Linked DNA regions of Mus musculus. The protein of the gene in region 1 binds, or shares a complex with, the protein of each later gene. Links are inferred from orthologs where the notes say so. Each region holds a gene or a part of one and is shown on either strand. Other genes may lie near its edges. The genes, in order: Eif3d and Eif3e.

Region 1 (3,822 bases):
GGAGGGTCCATCTCAGAAAATAAACTTCACCCAGAAGTTCAGTATATATGAAAGAGACAGCATTAATCCCTCTGAAAATGAGACAAATCTTTAGTGTTAGTTTAGTTTCCTGTCTTCGCAGCTCCCAATGTTCCTCTGTAGAACACAGGGAAAGACCTTACACAGTGAACCTTCCCTGGGAAACTGAGCCCATTATAGAGGCACCCAGATAGATCGACTTCTGGGTTGAAGCTCTGGCTCTCCACTGACTTAGCTCTATGTCCTTGCCCTCTAGTGTACGATGCTACACAAAATGGAGTCTCCTGAACAACTGTCACGCCTCTCCTGCTGCAGGAGCTTAGTGACTGAACTACTGGGCTTTTTCTCGGATGCCAAAAGTGGAAAGAAACTGGGACTTTTTTAGTAAACAATGCATTTTTTAAAGTGGGTCTTGATCTTTCAAAAACATACCCACCAGTCCATAGCACTGTAAGTGGCTTCAAATCTGCTTTGGAGTTGCTAGGACTTAAGGAGACACTGATCCCTGGCAGGCAGACAGACTCTGAAACAGGGTGGGCACCAGGGAAGAAGCTACTCACATGTCTTGAGGCTCTGACACTTCCAAGTAGCGCATCTTCATCAGCTGAGGGAAGTCCATCTCCTCCTTCACCTCCCAGTCACTGCGAACTTCAACTGAGGAGTCTCGGGGTTTCTGCAGAGGAAACACAGGAAGATCTTCATATCCTACGCAAATAGCAAAAGACAGAGTGACATGGGAAGGGCTTTCATTCAATCATTATGGTCCCGGATGTTTTTTTTTTTTAAGTTCATTGTATTTATTTGATCTCTGGGTTCTCTGCTGCATGTACACCTGCAGGCCAGATGAGGGCGTCAGATCCCTTTATAGATGGGCATGAGCCACCACCTGGGTGTTGGGAATTGAACTCAGGACCTCTGGAAGAGCAGCCAGTGCTCTAAAAAGCTGAGTCATCTCATTAGTCTGGTCCTGGCTGTTTTTAAGCAGGGCCCGTGACTCCTGGCAGCTCAGAGAAGGAAGCAGGGCCTCAGCATGGGGCTTCTCAGGGTGTCAAGCACACGCCCGATACAGCAAGCAGCTAAGTCAACCTGCACCTTCACGACTTTATCACCCTACAACACTCGGCAGTGAAGCCGCGATTCTGTGCCCGAAAAGCAGCTGCTTTGCTGTTGGCAACACTCCTAGCCCAAACTCCACTTCTGGTCATGTCTGTTATGCTCACAGCTCCCACAAAGATGGCAGTGTTATACCTAACAGTGCCAAAGTGGAAAGATGAATGGCTGAAGGAAATGTGGCAACCCATACAAAAAAACCACTCTTGGGCAAAAAGACTCCATGTTTGTGAGCTTTATACCAGCAGGTCTATAACCAGTCACATGTAAACTGAAAATTCTTGGATGCTCAGCATACTGGAAATCCCACCTACTGGGTGGCTGACAGAGGAGGATCACCCGAGAGTTAAAATGATACTTTCAACCCAAATATATAATCCAGAGGCAAGCTAAAGTCCACGAGGGGACACACATGAGATACATGCAGAGAAGGTCAGTGCACACAAATCTTGATCTCTGAGGGTACCTGGAACCAATCCTTAACAGACATGAAGGAAAAGTGAAAAGACTGTGCTAACACGGGCTGCGATATGATCTTAAAAGTGGCACACTAACTAAAGGGCACAGAGTATGATCCTATTGTACATGAAATGCCCGCGGGCATCAGGGGAGTCCCGAGACATCTCTCAAGGTCAAAGAAAACAAACCCCTCCAAGTCCCCACAGAGTCCCTAGAGGGACACTACCTGTGACTTCTGGTCCCATTTTTGCCTCACTCCAAATTGCTTCTGGAATTTTTTCTGCAAGCGAATTCGTTCTCTGAAAAGACAGACAAAATGCTGTGATTTCAGTGTCGGCTTCTAGCTGAATCGCATCATCCTTCCTAGCTGCTACCAGGATAGAAAATAGGGGCTTAGATGTAGAACACACTGGGGATTCGAGCAGAGGCGCACTACTAGTATCAACCAGCATTCAGCCCAGTTACTCCCATGGCAGCCCTGGCTAGGGTGCAGTGGCTGCTGTGCCCAGCCCCAAGGGCCCACAGGATATAGCATAAGTGGTGCTGCCTGAAACCAGGCATCCAGAATGTAGAGGCCACAGAGCCACTTCAAATGTCCGCCTCACCCACCTCCTGTCTGTCTGCCATTGCCCAGTCTTGGGCAGCAATAGGTGAGGAGGTTTTGCTTTCTTTTTCAAGAGTGAAAGATAGCCAGTCCCTGCCCTGCTCTGTGATTTTGAGTACAGCCCATTTGGGAACATAACTCTGACTTGGCAGGAAGGGACGCTCACCTCTCTTTCTGCTTGGCACTCTTGGGCAGGGTCTGTAGGTTGAACTGCACCATGTTCCTCCGATCTTTGTCTCTGCGGAGGTTGCGCTGGGGAGCAGGAAGAGACCCATGTTAGCCCCTCGGAGACAAGGCTCATGGTATCTTGAGAGTAAGTTTACGGCGTGAGTTCTAAGTTTCACATCTCTTTACTTTTACTCTACAGCGACTACAGAATTTGGGCTAAGGGGAGTAGCACTTGTGTTAGCTTGGACTGTCATTCCCACTTTAATGTGGGTTTACTAGTTTTATTGGAGTTGCAAAGTTTGCAACATTATGTAGCAGGAGGCACCCTACCAAACCATGTAATTAACAAAGGTTGTACATGACAAGTCAGCAAGGCACTGGGTTCCCAGCACAGCTGTGTGATGTCTGAACTACTGTGAACAAAAATCTAAACTCCTTCAATGTATTCCTAGACCCGTTTCACATTATTCTGACACAACTGGTCACTAAACTGCCACTTGGGATTGGCCAAAGGTCTGTAAGCCTTTCCTTTCTCATCAGTATTCCCAAGATGGCGGCTGAGCAGCAGGAACTTCTGCTCTCAGTGAGAGCTGAGTGTGGGCTGCCAGCCGTGGCCTACCTGTGCGAATCTCATCCGGTTCCGCTGGTAGGCGGTCTTCTGTGTCCGTGCCGTGTCCACCAGCTGGAAGCTTGTCTCATCCTCCTCATGGAAATATGCATACTGACTTCCCCCACCGAACTGAGAGGAATACTTGTCTGCAGGCAAAGGTGACAGTGTGTGCTAAGTGCTACCTACACAGTGAGTGTCGTGCTCATGGTGCATGCCAGGCTTCGACCCCACTCGCCTAAGTGTGCTCCTGACCTGAAGCACTGGCCAGAAGCTTGTGAGATGGGTAGACTCACCGCCCCTGCCCAGACCTGACAGATGGGAACCTGTATTTAAACATGCTCTCAGGTGATTCATGATTCACACTCACATTTAAGGTTTAAGAGCTTGGGTCTAAACAACTTACCAAGAGCCCAAGGATGCCACTACCCCGCTGTACCTCTGCGTGGTCATGTAAGAATCTGAGCTGTACCACCACCCCAGCCATCACCCAGAGCTGCGGACACAGCCTTCCACCCCGACAGCCTCTTTTGGACCTCATCCACTTTAACTTGGTACTCTAGGCAGCCACTTCCAAACATCTAACTGGCACCAGGGAAAGCGGCCTCCCTTACCAGAACCTTAAAACTAAGGCTCAGAGCCGAGAGTCCATGGATTGATGGCTCCAGAAGTCCCAAGCAACAGAATGCAAAGTAGCTTTCAGGAATCTCTGGCCATCCTGGGACTAAAAATCATGGTTTGTGTACACTCTATTCCAGAATATACTTCCAATAACTACCATTACCATTTCCTTTCCTTTCTAAAAACCTTTCATGTGGGGCTTACTGAAAAAAGTAATGAGCTTCCCAAGACCCAG
Region 2 (3,822 bases), about 35 Mb from region 1:
TTGGAGGATAACTTCCCTAACCTTGAGGTGCTCACACTTGGTTTGACTCTTGTAGCTACCGTGGCACTGAAAATGATACTGCCCTGTCAGTGCCTCCTACTGCAGAAAGTTATTGCAGAAGACGGGTTTTACCCAGTTAGTGTCACCCTCCCACCCACTAATTAAGGACTGTTTGCTTCTGTCCTTGCTTTTAAAACATCTTTGGATGGGTTCAAGCCTTTATCATAAAATATGGTTAGTATCGCCTTAGAGTAGAGCCTTGTAGTTAGTTACACTTCTGAAATTGGTGTTTGTTTGCATGTCTGTTTTTCATATACTAATATTTCCTCTGTGTAATTTTCTTAATCCTCCAGTCTGTGAGTTCTCCACTCCAGTCTCTTCAGCAGCGAACATGGCTCATTCATTGGTCTCTATTTGTTTTTTTCAACCATCCAAAGGGCCGTGATAACATTATTGATCTCTTCCTTTACCAACCACAGTAAGTTACATCATTGTTTAATTTTACTTTTGATATATGATTTTTATGTGGTACGTGTGTGTGTGCGCGTGTGTGCGCGTGTGCGCGCACATGTGCTTGTGTTTGTTAATTGGAAAGCTTTATGTGTAGCTGTTACTGTAGGTCCTTCCGAATTGTTCTTAAGAATGGTCTCTGAACTAACAATATAGATATCATGTAGACTCAGGGCTTACCGTAGAGGATTAAGTCAGTTTGTATTGAATTCTCAGGGTTCTCCGTTATCTAGTACAAAGCCAGTCTTCATTTCTATGGGTTACACATTTGTGAGAGAAAAATTCCATCATTACTGAATATGTAAAGATATTTTATTCTTGTAATCATTCTATAAATAATACAGTAGTAACTGCAAACAAATCTATATATTACATATTACAAGTAATTAGAGATTAAGTTATACAGGAGTGTATGCAAACAATATCTTACTTTTTATAAAGGACTTTGATAGCCATAGATTTTGACATTTGGAACCAGTCATCTGTCAATACAGAGGGATGATTGTAAATTCAAGTGTAAGGAATAAAGGAATAAAGGCCTATGCTAAATTATTGGAAAGGAAAAAAGGAGAGGTGGGTGATTATATTATGGGAAAATCTTTTTTGTATTGACTTGCTGTCTTCAGCTTTTGGTTTGTCTTGGGTTGATAAGAAATGGGCACACTGCTCAGTGAATTTTGTGAATGACACCATTCTGTTGGCCAGAATTAATTTTATTTTTTATTTATTTTTTAAAAGTTCTCCCTATGTTACTGAAGTTTTTTTATGTACCTCAGTCTTACCTAAAATTTGATCATCTTTCTTCAAATCATGGATATATCACCACACTCAGCAAATCTTTAATTTCAAATCTTTCAGATATTAGGATATGTGTTTGTATATATGTGTGTGTATGTGTGTGTGTATCACATGTGTACATATTCATGTTACAACAAATAAAGAGATAGATTGTGACTATAAGGCACAATAGAAATGAATTGATTTAAAATGTGTAACATTGAATTTGTAGTATGGCTATGCTAGTAGGTATATCTTCATCACCAGACTACAACCACTAAATATTCTCAACTGGTTGGAGAACAACTAGAAGAAAGTTAAGAAATTTAAAACATTACATCACATCAGAGTTTGCTCACAAAGACTAATGGAAGTGATATTTCAACAGAGTTTCCCTTTAGTTGTTTTATTAACAAGGAGAAGTCATCCATCAGCCGGGATTCGGTTGTGTTTTTAGTTCAACAGAAAAGATACACAACCAGTGAACTTGTTGGATGCTAGGATGCTTTGATAGCTCAGGTCAGGGCTCTGGTGACTTGCTTAGGAGAAGGTAGATGTCTTCTAAGTTATGGCTGTCCTTAGGCTACTACTGTCGTCACATGCTGCATGATATTAAATTTCACTTGTGCAGTCTAATATTCAGTCTGAAATTTCAAAGTGAAACAGTGCTTTCATGTAAAATTTATGTTTCAGTAAAGTCATTTAGATGACAGCATGGTATGAATCAGAACTTGCAGCTTTGTACATTTTCCGTTCTGTCAAAAGTTAAAACAAGAAGCAGACGTTCCTAGCTGCAGGAATTTGTGACAGATACTTTTAAGTCACATTGCAGTTCTAGGATGTTGCAGTCCTCACTGCACGCACAAAGGAAAGTCCCATGCCTCTAAATTCATTCAACCCAGTTCCATTGAAAGTGATGCTGTAATGTCGTCACATGCAATCTAAAGACCATTTAACTGAATTGTGTAAGCAATAAAGTGCTCCCATATGCTTGTCAATTGATGACAATATTTAGTTAAAAGAATCTATGCAAGAAAACTGAGTTTAAGAAACTGATTATAAAGACCTTCCAACATCTATGGAGCAATGATAAGTGACTTCCTAGGCTCCTGACGTGAGTTTTCTAGCTCACTCCTAATTGGCAATAGTGATGGTACTGTTGTTGAGTTTCTTGTCATCGGATTCTGCTGATTTTACAGGTTGTTATTCTCTCGTACTACTTAAATGTAATTCTTAAATGCTTACACTCTTAGGCTAAACGATGTTAGATGTTTTCTTTAGTTCACACTGAACTATATACATGAAAAATTGTGGGAATTTAGTGAATATTAAGTAACTGTTGTATTTTTACCTTAGGTATCTTAATGCAATTCAGACAATGTGTCCACATATTCTACGCTATTTGACTACTGCCGTCATAACCAACAAAGATGTGCGGAAACGCCGGCAGGTGCTGAAAGATCTGGTGAAAGTGATTCAACAGGTAAAAATAAACTTAAAGCAGTCAGACAGTAGGTGTGATCTCTAAATGCTGGGGTAGGTCTTAGGGGAAAATAAGTAAGGTGAGAGGGAAGTCTACATGAAACTAGAGAGAAATTAGCAAGCCCTGAGCTTACTTTTGCAAAATCATAGGTGTCCTTATGACCAATATGGTATGAGTGATTAGTGCTTGGTGGAGCTGCTTGTTGATGGGTTGTGGAGTTGCTGCCTGTTCCAGATGGTGACCATTATCTTAATGTGGCAAAAGCCCCTGAAGTTTGGCTTATGGAGCTTCTCACTTGTAAATAAAACAAAACACCGAAAAAGCCCAAGAAATCAGATGTAATCTAAGAATGCATTTATAATTTGGACATGTGACAAACTTAATGTGTTATCTGAGGTAAGGGTTCGATTGGGTGCTTTGAGAAGATGATATTGGATTAGCTGTGAGTTGGCATTATGTTAAACAGTGCTTAACAAGATCTAACTGGACATTTGGATTACTTTTTTAGGAGTCTTACACATATAAAGACCCAATTACAGAATTTGTTGAATGCCTATATGTTAACTTTGATTTTGACGGGGCTCAGAAAAAGCTGAGAGAATGTGAATCAGTAAGTATGAATTTTTACTAAGCAATTTATATTCTTAAATTTCAAGATGTAGTAAAGTATTGAAGTAATTGAATAAGAAAAAATAAACTAAATGGTATATTATTGACAGAATGAAGACACCTAGTTGGTATTGTCTCCTTTAGGTTACAGAAATTAAAACATCAGCTATCTGAATTCATCTGATTCTCCTTAATTCTGTTTCTCTAATCTGGTTCATATGTACATGCATACCACAAATGTGGTCCCCTTATTTATAGATGGAATTACTTGTAGAAAAGATTAAATTTAACATTTCATATAAACTAAGCAATTTATTACAGTTATGTTTTTATACCTAAATTTTCCTATTTAGTTAAAAATAAAGTTCTTTCAGAGCAAGTCTGGAATTCGATATGTAAACCAAGCAGTCAGTGGATTTATGGAGATACATGCGCCTGCTCTG

The links.
Region 2: Eif3d (region 1) and Eif3e share a complex: the UniProt entries of both Homo sapiens proteins name them as parts of the eukaryotic translation initiation factor 3 (eIF-3) complex. The link is inferred for Mus musculus from reciprocal best matches to the Homo sapiens genes EIF3D and EIF3E.

Annotation. Positions count from the first base shown.
Region 1 is NC_000081.6:77,964,325-77,968,146, forward strand, and holds part of Eif3d (eukaryotic translation initiation factor 3 subunit D), read right to left. Parts: intron 3,116-3,822; coding exon 2,979-3,115; intron 2,444-2,978; coding exon 2,358-2,443; intron 1,887-2,357; coding exon 1,814-1,886; intron 692-1,813; coding exon 579-691; intron 1-578. UniProt on the Homo sapiens protein: mRNA cap-binding component of the eukaryotic translation initiation factor 3 (eIF-3) complex, a complex required for several steps in the initiation of protein synthesis of a specialized repertoire of mRNAs.
Region 2 is NC_000081.6:43,262,157-43,265,978, reverse strand, and holds part of Eif3e (eukaryotic translation initiation factor 3 subunit E), read left to right. Parts: intron 1-353; coding exon 354-478; intron 479-2,643; coding exon 2,644-2,770; intron 2,771-3,278; coding exon 3,279-3,380; intron 3,381-3,822. UniProt on the Homo sapiens protein: Component of the eukaryotic translation initiation factor 3 (eIF-3) complex, which is required for several steps in the initiation of protein synthesis.